Rattus norvegicus: one gene and its partners. The protein of the gene in region 2 purifies or fractionates together with the protein of the main gene of each other region. This does not show direct contact. Links are inferred from orthologs where the notes say so. Each region holds a gene or a part of one and is shown on either strand. Other genes may lie near its edges.

Evidence for each region.
Region 1: the proteins of Ap1g1 (region 2) and Ap2m1 purify together in Homo sapiens (affinity purification with mass spectrometry; 3 studies listed by BioGRID and IntAct, counting the BioPlex papers as one, with this or other methods). This does not show direct contact. The link is inferred for Rattus norvegicus from reciprocal best matches to the Homo sapiens genes AP1G1 and AP2M1.
Region 3: the proteins of Ap1g1 (region 2) and Ap1m2 purify together in Homo sapiens (affinity purification with mass spectrometry; 4 studies listed by BioGRID and IntAct, counting the BioPlex papers as one, with this or other methods). This does not show direct contact. The link is inferred for Rattus norvegicus from reciprocal best matches to the Homo sapiens genes AP1G1 and AP1M2.

What each region holds. Positions count from the first base shown.
Region 1 is NC_086029.1:93,865,584-93,869,821, reverse strand, and holds the start of Ap2m1 (AP-2 complex subunit mu), read left to right. Parts: upstream 1-1,341; 5' UTR 1,342-1,369; intron 1,370-3,624; 5' UTR 3,625-3,667; coding exon 3,668-3,741; intron 3,742-4,238.
Region 2 is NC_086037.1:54,709,597-54,713,242, reverse strand, and holds part of Ap1g1 (AP-1 complex subunit gamma-1), read right to left. Parts: intron 2,973-3,646; coding exon 2,877-2,972; intron 2,519-2,876; coding exon 2,438-2,518; intron 2,263-2,437; coding exon 2,164-2,262; intron 1-2,163. UniProt on the Homo sapiens protein: Subunit of clathrin-associated adaptor protein complex 1 that plays a role in protein sorting in the late-Golgi/trans-Golgi network (TGN) and/or endosomes.
Region 3 is NC_086026.1:28,129,842-28,134,024, forward strand, and holds the start of Ap1m2 (AP-1 complex subunit mu-2), read right to left. Parts: upstream 2,802-4,183; 5' UTR 2,769-2,801; coding exon 2,727-2,768; intron 234-2,726; coding exon 77-233; intron 1-76. UniProt on the Homo sapiens protein: Subunit of clathrin-associated adaptor protein complex 1 that plays a role in protein sorting in the trans-Golgi network (TGN) and endosomes.

The DNA of each region.
Region 1 (4,238 bases), on a different chromosome or scaffold from region 2:
TGTTGTTGTTGTTGTTATCACTAATTTACTCTAAACTTTTAGGGTATGTTGGGAAGAGAAAGCTTTTGTGAAGATAGACATGAAGCCTTCAAAGGTTACAAGTTTCTGGGTTTTGGCTTCTGGAAGGAGGTTGCTAGGAATAGTAGGGTTAGCAACCAGATTTGAACACCCACCCCTTCCTTTCTGCCATAGAAGTCTCTGGCCTGTTTAGGCAACAGATGTCTCTGTCCACTGAGAGAAAAACCAACTTTTCTAGATTTGGCAAAAATCAGACAGCCGTTTGTGTTCGGGTTGGTTCTGCCTCATTCTCAGTTTGGATATCATAAGAAATCTTTTTTTTTTTTTTTTAAGGTTGAGACAGGGTTTCTCTGTATATCCCTGGCTGTCCTAGAACTCGATCTATAGACCAGGCTGGCCTTGAATTCAGAGATCTGCCTGCCTCTGCCTCTGCCTCTGCCTCCTGAGTGCTGAGATTAAAAGCATGTGCCACCACTGCCCAGATGAGAAATGGGATTTTAAAATCCCATGCCCAACTAAACTGGAGTGGTGGACAAACAGGCTCCCTTTTGTAGCCTGGGATGTCTTGAAACTCCCTATTTAGACCAGGCTGGCCTCAAATTCACAGAGATGCTCTTGCCTCTGCCTTCAGAGCTCTGGAATTAACGGCATATGTCACCAGCACACCACAGTCACAGATTTTGCTGAGAAAAACACTAATGTTTTACCAAGAATTAGTGCTTTCCTTCCCAGCCTTTCTGTTTGGATAATTATCCCTGAGAAAGGGCTCAGTCCTATCCTGGAATATATATAAAACCTCGGGAGAATCAAATGTGTTAAAAAGCAATAAATTCAGCAGTAACGGGCTTATGCAAGTTGTGTTTGTAAAGTGAATATAGCCACTCTTCGAAATCTGGAGACAATAAAAATCTAATAATTCAAAATTTACAATTGGTTTCAACAAACAGCTTTGGTCTCTTAAAGCCTACCTCCTCTAACTAGGAACGAGAAGGATTACAGAGACTACACTTCCCGTGATTCTCAGTGAAGCAAATAGTCTGTGGAGCGTACCATGACCCGTGTTGCCAGCAAGACGCACTGAGGCCGACGTCGACTCTGTCTCGAAGGCTGTCGGTAGTTGTAGTTTTGCTAGACTTAGGGCACTCGGATGTGTCAGCTTGAAAGCTTCGGAGACTGACGGGACTTGTAGTCGCCGCTGGAGGTGAGCGCGCAGGCGCAGCTGCGGGCGGGGCGGGGCGGGGCGGGAGCACTGCAGTGAAAGCGGAGGCAGCAGACAGGCGAGCTGGGGGCGGGCGGACATCTTGGGATCCGAGAGTGGCCAGGCCTGCCTTGTGGGGGCTGCTGACTCCAGGTGAGCTGGGAAGCTTGACTTAGAGATCCTTACCGGGCGGCGAGGGTGCCGTGGTCACCTGCCCTGCCCCGCACTGTGCTGGGTGGAAAACTGCCCGCACCCGGGAGTGGCCTCAGCCTCCAGACCCGGGAGGGAGCAGACGACCGGGCGGGGGTGCCTTGGGCGCGATTGCAGCAAGGGCGGGGAACGACGCCCTCCAGTAACCCGCTGGGCGTCTCCGGGAGGAGACTCGGGCCGGAATCCTAGAGCCGGGGACCCCGCGCGGCGCCCCATCCCTAGAATCCTGACAACCGCTCAACCCCGAGGTTTCCCATTCTCCCATCCCCCAGGACATTGACATCCCCTGGTGCCACTCCCTTGGACAGTGACAGGTCTCTCTGGAACACTGAGAGATTCCTTCCTCCTGGTTTACCCCCCACTGCTCTTCTACCTCAGACCTATGACAGCCCCCGCATCCCTTGGTGACATCTCCTCGGCCTAGATGTCTCCCCCCTCTGCTGAGAAAAACTCCACCAACCCCTCATGCTTCACTAAAAGAAGAGTAGGCCCTATCTCTCAGCTTTCTCTTTTTCTACTGTCTATCTTTTCGCCTTGTTTTGCTCCTCCAAAGCTCCTATGACCTTTGTCATAGGAGAACTTGAGGGACTCCCACAGCTGTATTTGCTGCTGTGGGGTCATCCTGGTCTATTGCTAGCAATTACAGCTAATCGGTCCCTTAACTAAATATTCCATTTCTGTCCAGGACACAACACACACACACACACACACACACACACACACACACACACACACACACCACAACCACAGCCACCTCCACCTCCACCACCACTCCCACCCTCGGCTGATACCTGTGGACTTGGTCCTTTGCTCAGGGGACAACCTCCATTTTGCATTTTCTTTCTCACCTTCTTTGAACTGTGAGACAAGTGTGTCCACTACCTTAGTTGACTTGTGACTGGGTTTCAAGGGTTAACTTTTCAGTTTCAGAAAGTCTTGTTAGACTAACATCAGTGAAATTAATACCAGGGTTAATCCAGAAAAATCTAGAACCAGATTAACCTATTTTCTTAAATATTCTAAATTAATTTTGACCCAAATGAATTTGGGCAGTTGAGACATTCTGTTACCTTGCCCATTGCTTAGTAAACACCAGGCCAGAAGTGACTGACTTGGCAGCTCTGGAGTCACAATTTAGCAGGATTAATGCTACATACAGACCTAATTTTTGTCACATTTTGAAATTTTGATAAGACAGTGACCAGAAATAATTGTAAAGGGGGCTCAAAAAGAAAGAAAGAAAGAAAGAAAGAAAGAAAGAAAGAAAGAAAGAAAGAAAGAAAAGAAAGGAAAGAGGGACTTGGCATTTCAGAGTCCTTACTGTTCTTCCAGAAGACCTGAGTTCAGGTCTCAGCCCATGTCGTTTGGTTCAGTACTGCCTGTAACTCAGGCTTGTGGGATGGAGGGCAGGGCTCCACCTGACGTCTAGACTTCCACACACACAGCACACACATTGGCATACCTATGTGAAGGTAAAAATGAAATCTTTCTAAGAAGAACTTGGGAGCATTGGAGCGTGGTTTGTTCGCCCTGGGCCTCTCTGTTCCTTTGCCTGCTTATCTCACTGCCTGGGGAAGACGAGCCTGCTTCAGCCACATTCCTGGGTTTGTGTTAGAGCCTAAGGGCCTCTTCTCCCACCCCCACCTCACTCTGCACACCCTTTCCTGGAATGTGTAGCCTTGTAGACGGTCATGCTCTGCTGCCTTCTTGGAAGAATAGTGCTTGCTCTAAAAGTTATGCCTGGTGGCGGGCACAAGCTAACTCCTACCGCCTAATCCCTACCGCCATTCCTGCATCCGCGGGCAAGCTTTTCTCTGACTCACTGAAGTTGCGGGGAGTGAGAGTCTGCACAGCAGGGGTTTGAAAAGAATCTTAGCTGAGCTCAGCATTGTGAAGACGACGGGGAGGGGTGCGAGTGGGGGTGGGGGGGTGGTTACTTTCAAGCTCAGCCCTCAGAAAAGACTGAGTAAAATGGCCTTAACCCTGGGCCCCACACTTAAAGTACTGTCTCCTATCCAGTGTGGAATAAACAGGAACTGGAGCCTCGCTGTGCGTGCAGGCGGGGCTTCCTTGGGAGGGCTGCAGGGTCACTTGCTAGAGGACTGAGTCAGGAAAAAAGGCAGCCCTGTACAGCCCCGCTGAGATGGGCAAGGGATCTAAAGATTTCCCCATTCCCTATCCCCACCTTTCCTACCTAGGTCTGTTCTCAGAGCAATGGGTCACAGAGACTGAGCTGCCGCCATGATCGGAGGCTTATTCATCTATAATCACAAGGGGGAGGTGCTTATCTCCCGAGTCTACAGAGATGACATCGGGTAAGTCCCCTGCCTGAGCACGCTGTGCCCCAGCCCCCCCATCGCCTCAGCCTGAGCATGCAATATAGCCTGGTTCCATTGGGCATCGGCCCAGCTGCTAGGCTCAGGGCCTGGGGATGACACCTCCACCCCCTAGGGTTAGGAACTCCTGCCCTTCCTGCTCCCTGTAGGTCTGGTCTGGTGGCTGAAGATGAGTGCTTTTGCCTGGTCAGGTTGATTCTTCCTTTCAGGAGGGAGCACTATCTCCTGTGGGTGTGGTTAGTGTGTGCTCGGTGGTACTAATCCATCTAAATCTTGCTTTCAAATCCTTCTCATACTGAGAGCCTTCCCTAGATCCCCTTAAAACCCCTCTCTAGTCTGTTGACTCAGCTGTTTTCTGTTCTTCTGGACCCTCCCTGGTTGTGAACAGGCTGCGCTCTGTGGGTCATGCTGCCTTTGTAGTTCATCCGGGTGGACCTGGGTAGCGCCTAAGACCTCAGGTCTTACAAAGAGTCACT
Region 2 (3,646 bases):
ACAGAACCCAACACTCTACCAGCTGAGCTATATCCCCTTCACATTTGGTTATTGGGTTTTTGTTTTGTTTTGTTTCTTTATCTTTGCAAAATCTGAGGAGAAACCTATAAACAAAACAAAATGGTGTTTTAAGGGTTAATTTTCCAAAATGAACCATTTTCTTAAAAAAAAAAAAAGAAGAAGAAGAAGAAAGAAAAGAAAGGAAAGGAAAGGAAAGGAAGGAAGGAAGGAAGAAAAGGCAGGAGGGGGGACTGGAAAATGGCACAATGTTAACAGCTCTGGCTCCTGCTATTCCAAAGGATTTGGGTTCAGTTCCCAGCACCCTGTGGTAGCTGCAAGCATCCGTACATCAAGTTTTAGGGATCTGACACCCACTGTGCCTTCCAAAGACACCAGATACTAAAAATCATGGACAAAAGCCTAAAACTGTATTTGCACAGGCTCAGAGTGTCTCCTCCCAAGAATTTTAATTACAAAGGGAAAGACAATAAATTACACAGCTCTAAAGACACCACATATTGGGCTGGAAGAGATGGCTGAGTGATTAATAGCTTGGTGCTCTTGTAAAGGACCTGGATTCCATCCCTGGCACCCACATGATAGCTCACAATCATCCATAACTCCAGGTCCAGGGGATCCAATGCCCTCTTCCAAACTCTGTAGGAACCAGGAATACATAGGGATTCACATGGAGCACGTACATATGTGCAGGCAGACACTCATCCACATAAAAAGTAAAATAAATGTGCAGCTTGTCTTCATGTGGGTCCCCTAACAAGTGGTGCGGGGCTTTCTCAGGTTCTGTTCCCTGCCACTGGGTGGTACTCAAGGGGAGTAATGGGGGGGGGGGTTGTAAGGGTGGGACTGGGAAGGGGGGGCTGTGATCAGGATATAACATGAATAAAAACAAATTATTGAAAAGCAAACAAATGAATCTGGGCGGCACACCCAGCTGACATCACAGCACTAAGAAAACTGTGCTGCCTGGCATGCTCTACTGCAAAGGAGTTATCAATGTATGGACGTTTGCCAAGAAATGTATAACTTTAATCTATAAAATTATGAAAAAAAAAAATCAGACAGACCAAATTGAGTTACATTCTACAAAACAACTGATCAATATTTCTAAAGTGTCAAAATCTTGAAAGATAAAGAGAAACTAAGAAACTAACAGACAGGAGACTAACAAGAAGTGACAATTAAATGTCATGTAGGCTCATGCTGTAACAGAAAATAAATACTACCTGGAAACTTAGAAAATCTAAATGAAATCTACAATTCAGGTTAATTCCCTGGTCTTCATAAGATGTATAAGTCTGTAAGACACTGCTCTGGGAAAGCCGGGCAAGGGAATGCACAGCATATACGAAAGTTCAGAAGACATGCTGATAGCCTTCCAGAGATCCAAACTTGGTTCCCAGCACCTATATTAGGCTGCTCAAGCCATGTGTAATTCCAGGTCTGGGGAATCCAACATCCTTTTCTGGTCTCCATGGATGCTGCTCTTACCACAAGCACAGGCATACACACAATTAATTTAAAAAAAAATCTAAAATTGTTTCAACATTAAATGACAGTAGAAAAAAAGGCTAGATGTGGTGGAGCAAACCTATGACCCCAGAACTGGGAGGCTAAAGCACAAGAATCAACAAATTGAGGCCAACCCACCCTAGAGAAGATTCCAGGCCGGCCCCATCTATATTATGTAGCAAGATGCTGTTCCAATATAGGCAAAGCATCACAAAATAGTGTTTTCCTGTGGAAGAGGAAACGATACGAAAGCTACAGAGCTAACATTTTCCTCTCAGTACGATTTCGAGGCTACCTGAGTTTCGTGCTCTATAGGTTTATTGCTTAAATAAATTTATTTAACTACTGCATCTGTGCCTTGTTTAGAGTGATAGGTACAATTCAGGTTGTGTCTAGTAAAAGCTTACTCTGAAAGACTTCCTTCACACAGGAATATAGCTGTATCCCCTCCTCAGTCCTTCCAGGCTTTAGTGTTTTCGTCAAGGTTAAAGCACACATAAAGTCACAATGGCATGCTTTGGTACGAGAGTCCTTCCTAAAGTTCCAAATGGAATCTGTTTCAAAGTACTGAAGCCCAGTTCAATCACTTTAAGTAAAATGTTTAGAGGAAAGAGAAGATTCAAAAAGACTTACACGCAATCCACTCTCTGATTTAATATCCATGATAGTCAAAACCGTTTCATACAGAATAGCATTCCCTACATTCTTACTGGTCTCTGTATTAGTGGCGACCTGAAAAACAGACAGCAGTGCATAAGTGGGAAAGCAACACTTTCCAAACTACCAAGTGCAAGGAGACAACTCAGTAACTCACTAAGGAGAAGCAGAACTATTCGCCCAGATACTCTCTTCTACTCTCTGCTGGATGAAAATGAAACTTCAATGATTTCAAGTTGGATCAACTCACCTGTGCTAATATATCATTCATAGCTTCGCTTGAATCATCATCATTCCGTCCTAAAATTCTTAATAACCGCAAAATTCGTACCTAACATGCAGGATACAAAAGGTCAACAAGTTATGTCTGACTCAATCTCATTCAGAATGAAACTCAAACATTTCAAGTGAAGTTAGACGCCATCAGGAGAAATTTCAACATTGTTTTAAAGAGGCCATGCACATGTCTACATCAATGAAGTCATAAGATAACCCACACTTCACAGTAAATTTTACATTTACAGTGTCACTTCACTAATTCAATACAATACTTATTTGGCCCTAGTTCACTTATTAATATAATTAGTATATTATCAGTCTGTACCCTATATAAACTTAAGATGAAGGAAACAATCTCTTCAAAGCATTGCATTCACATGGCATTTATCCAAAATGTTTTTCAAACTCACCTGCAAAAAGGGGTCACTGATACCAGAAACATCATGTTCTGGGGAATATCCGGACATGATGAGGTTCTTTAGAATACGAACTAATTGGGGCACAAGCTGCAGGGAAAAAAAAAAAAAAAAAAAGGTGCATTAAAACAACCATAATAAAATAGTGACTCTATCAGCCTATCTCTTCAATAAGCAGGTTCTTTGGTTTAGAAAATGATGCAAGGGTCTGAGTCCAAGAAATTTCTTCTGCTGTAAATACAGTAATGCAAATGGCTGAAGTATTAACTCAGATACTAAGGCCAAAACCTATCCGGTAATAGGCACTTCAACAGCATGAAAACAAGCCAAAACTTTTTTTCTCCAGAGTTCAATATGTAAAGACACTAGAATCACAGTGGGCCGAGAGCCGATGGGAACCAAATAAAAGAGGTCTGTGGGAAATACTGCAGCTCTACTTGGTAGAACTTGAAACTCTTGGGTAGCAAGAATCATTTCCTTTTTATCCATCCTAATAAAGTCATATAAAGCATTAACCAATGATCTTATTAAAATATAAAGCATATCACACTTCAAATAGAAAACGGTCTCTCCTCTGAAGATAGGTTTAATTATATATCCTTTCCCAGAAAGCAGCAGGAAACACCAGTGACCAGCATGAGCCAAACGGAGGTGATAGATGAAGAAAGTACACCTGCGACCCTGGTGCCCTGCCCTTCACTCAGAGACATCTGCCAGATTAGTGCCAGTACTCACTCATGTCCTCCAACTGCACCAAGAGACTA
Region 3 (4,183 bases), on a different chromosome or scaffold from region 2:
GAACCGGGCAAATCCTGCTCTTAGGTCACCGCCCTCTGAATCAGGTTCCTGGCGCTCCTTCCCACAATGAGGATGCAGTAGAGATTGCTGTGTTTGATCCACAAGAAGTGCACTCGGCCGTGGCTCAGCAGCGGGGCCAGCATACCCTCCTCCTCCCGTTGCATAAGCAGAGGCATGAAGTGGTCAATCTCCGTCATGGGCACATCGCCTTTGTAGTTTCGGCTAATCAGAGGCTAAGGGGAGAGAGACAGGACTAAGTCACCACCAGCGCACAGACCTAGGGCCTTAGGATGTCTAATTCTCTTCTAACTTTCTTTTATGCCCCCCACACTGGCCTCTTTTGTTTTATGGAGGGGATGATACCTCAGGTAGCATAGGCTGCCCTTGACACCAGATGTCACAGAGGATGACCTTGAACTCTTTTTTTTTTTTTTTTTTTTTTTTGGTTCTTTTTTTTCCGGAGCTGGGGACCGAACCCAGGGCCTTGCGCTTCCTAGGTAAGCGCTCTACCACTGAGCTAAATCCCCAGCCCCGACCTTGAACTCTTGATCCCCCTGCTTCCATCCTGGCGAGAGCTAATGTTACAAACCCTCTAGGAGTAAATTACCTCCCCGACTGTCTTTCCTTTTCTGATTAATTTAGGCACCTTTTCTACGAAGCCCCAGCTGGTCTCAACTTCTCAATCCTCCTGCCTCGGTTTCTAGAGTGCTGGGGTCACAGTGTTTGTCACCATATCACACTCTGTGTGCAATTCAGTGAGGGGCCTAGCTAGGACTCTACCTCTGTACGCCTCGGTTTTCATGCCTGTTATGTAGGTACCTGACACCCACAGCTAAAAGTGTCCTGGGTGCATACTGAACACCATCAACATTCTGCCAGTACGTGTTATGCTGGGGATGGGCTTGGGGGGTAGAGGCGGAAGTACAAGGCCATCCTCGGCTACATAGTAAGTGCAAAGCCAACCTAAACTACATGAGGTTCTGACAAAAAAATAAATAAATGAAAAATAAGGAACATGGGCTCAGCAGTAGAGGACCATCCTACTGCGTATGAGGTCCTTCCGACATCAATCAGTGGACGTGCTGGGCCTTGTCTTTCTTACCAAGGGCCTGTCGTCAGAGTTAGCAGGGAAGCTTGAGGCAAAAGGATAGCAGGTCCAAAGCCTAGCAAAGCTCCAGAGTGAATCTGAAGCCAGCCTGGGGAATTCAACCAGATACCATTTCAAATTTAAACCGCACAGGAGGGACCGCAAGAGAACTCAGGGGTTCTCAGTGGTTGAAGGGTCTCGCTGCCGAGCCTGGTGGCCAGAGGTCCAAGCCACACACGTGGGGATAGGACAGAACAGACTCTCACACAGGCAGAGCAAATAAGTGTAATTTTTAAATAGTATGAGGAGGATTAAGATGTAATTTAGTTGGGCTGGAGGGATGGTTCAGTGGTTAAGATCACCAACTGCTCTTCCAGAGGTCCTGAGTTCAAATCCCAGCAACCACATGGTGGCACACAGTCATCTGTATTGGGATCTGGTGTGTCTACAGACAGTTAGGTATACATTAAATAAATAAATAAATAAATAAATAAATAAATAAATAAATAAATAAAATCTTTAAGACGTAATTTAGTGGCAGTATGCTGGCTTAGCTTGGGTTCCGCCCCCACCACTGAGGAGGAAGAGGAGGAAGAACCTTTCCTGAGGAATTCAGTGCCTGCCTCAGCCTTGAGGTAGGTGTCTTTGGGTCCATTTTCCAGACTGAAGAAGCTGAGGTTTAAAACTATGTCCACAAAAAGCTGAGAGGTGGACCTGAACCTCTTCCCCTCCTGGGCCGTTCTTGTTCAAGGTTATTTATTTCTTTGTCTTGCTATTGTAGCCCAGGCTGGCCTTGCCCTCCTGAGCTCAGGTCATCTCTCTGACTCAGCTTCCACAGTAGCTAGAGTGACAGGTGCATGGTAAAACACCTGGCCTCCTTGTCCTTCTTGGATCTTTTTACAGGCACTATTTTTTGTGTGTATGGAGTGTGTGCATGTGCGTGTGTGTCTGTGTCTGTGTGTTTGTGTGTGTCTGTGTGTCTGTGTGTTTGTGTGTGTCTGTGTGGGTGTGGTCAGAGGACAACTTTGTAGGTTGTCTCCATTCCCCTTTACTTGGGTTTGGGTCAGGTTACCAGACTTACACAGCCAGTGTCTGGGCTTGTTGAGCCTGTTTTGGTTTTGAGGCAGTGAGTGTCACGTAGCTCAGGCCCGATTCAAACTCCCTTGATTTCCTGATCCCTCTGCCTCCACCTCCCAAGAGCTGGAATTGGGACTGTTTATGCAGTGCACTGGGATCACACCTAGGTCTGTGTGCTAGGCCAGCTGGCTGACAACTGAGGCACACGACCTTGTGTCATTATGTTACAGGGATCTCGTTTTCATCTCTACTGCTGTCATTGTCACAGGAGAAGCGACAGTCGACTTGCAAGGATAGGGGTATGGCCTTCTACTCCAGAGTTACACTTGGCCCATTTATTGAACTCCGGAGTTGCAGAAGGGCTGTGCTCACTGGTTCAGGGCGCTCAGATGGTGGATATCTTTCTTATTCTCATTTTTACAAACAGGAGAAATGACGCTCAGAGAGGTGAAACCCCTTGCCACAGATGCCGGCTGAAGAGGGCGGGTCCCCAGCTCCCGGTCCTGTGCCCTGGGCCCTCGTGCTCGCCCGTCGAACCACGATCCCTTGCCCTCTGCCTCACCTTGCCCTTGACGTCCAGAATGAAGACTGCCGAGGCCGACATGGTGGCGCCCGGTGAAGCTAGGAGGCGAGAGCGAGCTGCAGAGGCGGCAGCGCTGCTGCTTCCTTCTTCCTGCGGAAGCGCCTTCGCCCAGGTGAGCCGCCAGGTGAGCGCGTCTTAAAGGGGAGGCCGCCAGGTGAATGCGTCTTAAAGGGGAGGCCGCCAGGTGAGCGGCACGGTCGGCAGCAAATGCCAAGGCTGCTCCAAGAGCTAGGAAAGGCAGAACAGAGGTGCGACTGCAGCCCTAACCCACGTTTCTTTGGGGATCAGGAATGCCTGGGTGGATGGTGAAACTCCAGGACATTTATCCATTGATCCTTCAACTCACCCACCGCCCCCCTCGCCCACCGTACGTCTATTCATTCATCCTCTTATCCGCCCACCCCGTCTCCACCCACACTCCCATTCCAGTCAGCTATCCATCCCTCACCCCCTCCCACATACATATACACATTCACATCAACATCTACTAACCCACCCACGCATCCACCCACCCACCAGGGCATCCGTCTGTTCATGTGTCTGTATAGCTTGTTCAATCACCTACACCTACAGTATCAACAGGACTTTGCCTGTTTTCTATGTGTGACCCGGTGCCCACCACTAGGTGTTCAGTAATGTAATCCTTCTCACACTATACATTTTACTACTTTCTGTTATAGTTGTTGTTGTTGTTATTGATTGACTGGTTTGGGTTTTTTTTTTTTTTCTTCAAAACAGGGTTTCCCTGTGTATCCGTAGCTGTCCTGGAACTCACTCTGTAGACCAGGCTGGCTGCCTGTGTCTGCTGGGATTAAAGGCGCCTGTGTAATTTTTTGTTTGTTTGTTTTTGCTTATCGTTTGTGTTGTGTTGTGTTGTTAATTCTAGAAGAGTTCATTATGTGGTCCAGACCGGCACAGCCTTACAAGTTCTGTGATTACAGTCATGAGCCACCAGGCCTGACTTTGTTTTTTGTTTTCTAATTTCATTCATTTTTTTTAAAGCCCAAGCTATCCTTAAATTCAAGATCGTTCTGTCTCTACTTTCCCGTTGCTGGGATACCGTTTTGCGGAGGGTAGTGTGTGTGTTGGGGGGAACAACAAAAAAACCAAAACCACTCCAAACCTTAACCAAGCCTAAGCATAGCGCTCCGCTGTGGAAGAAACGTTTCCTGAGAGGCCGCCAGGGGGCGACAAAGCCCGCTTGGGCATCGTGGCTGCCGCCGACCTTTATCAGGCCCAGAGTCCAGATGGAGCTATGAGAATCGCCCACGGGAATTGTCTTAAAGCAGAGATGGGGCCTGTATGAAGAGCTTACGAGCCGAGCACAGTCAGTCTGTCTCAGGACCACACAGCCAGGTTAACAAGCCACTCTTCCATTATTCTGGTTGTTTTTACGGCCCTAGGGGGATTGAATGCCCACCGTTGCCAGTGCCAGG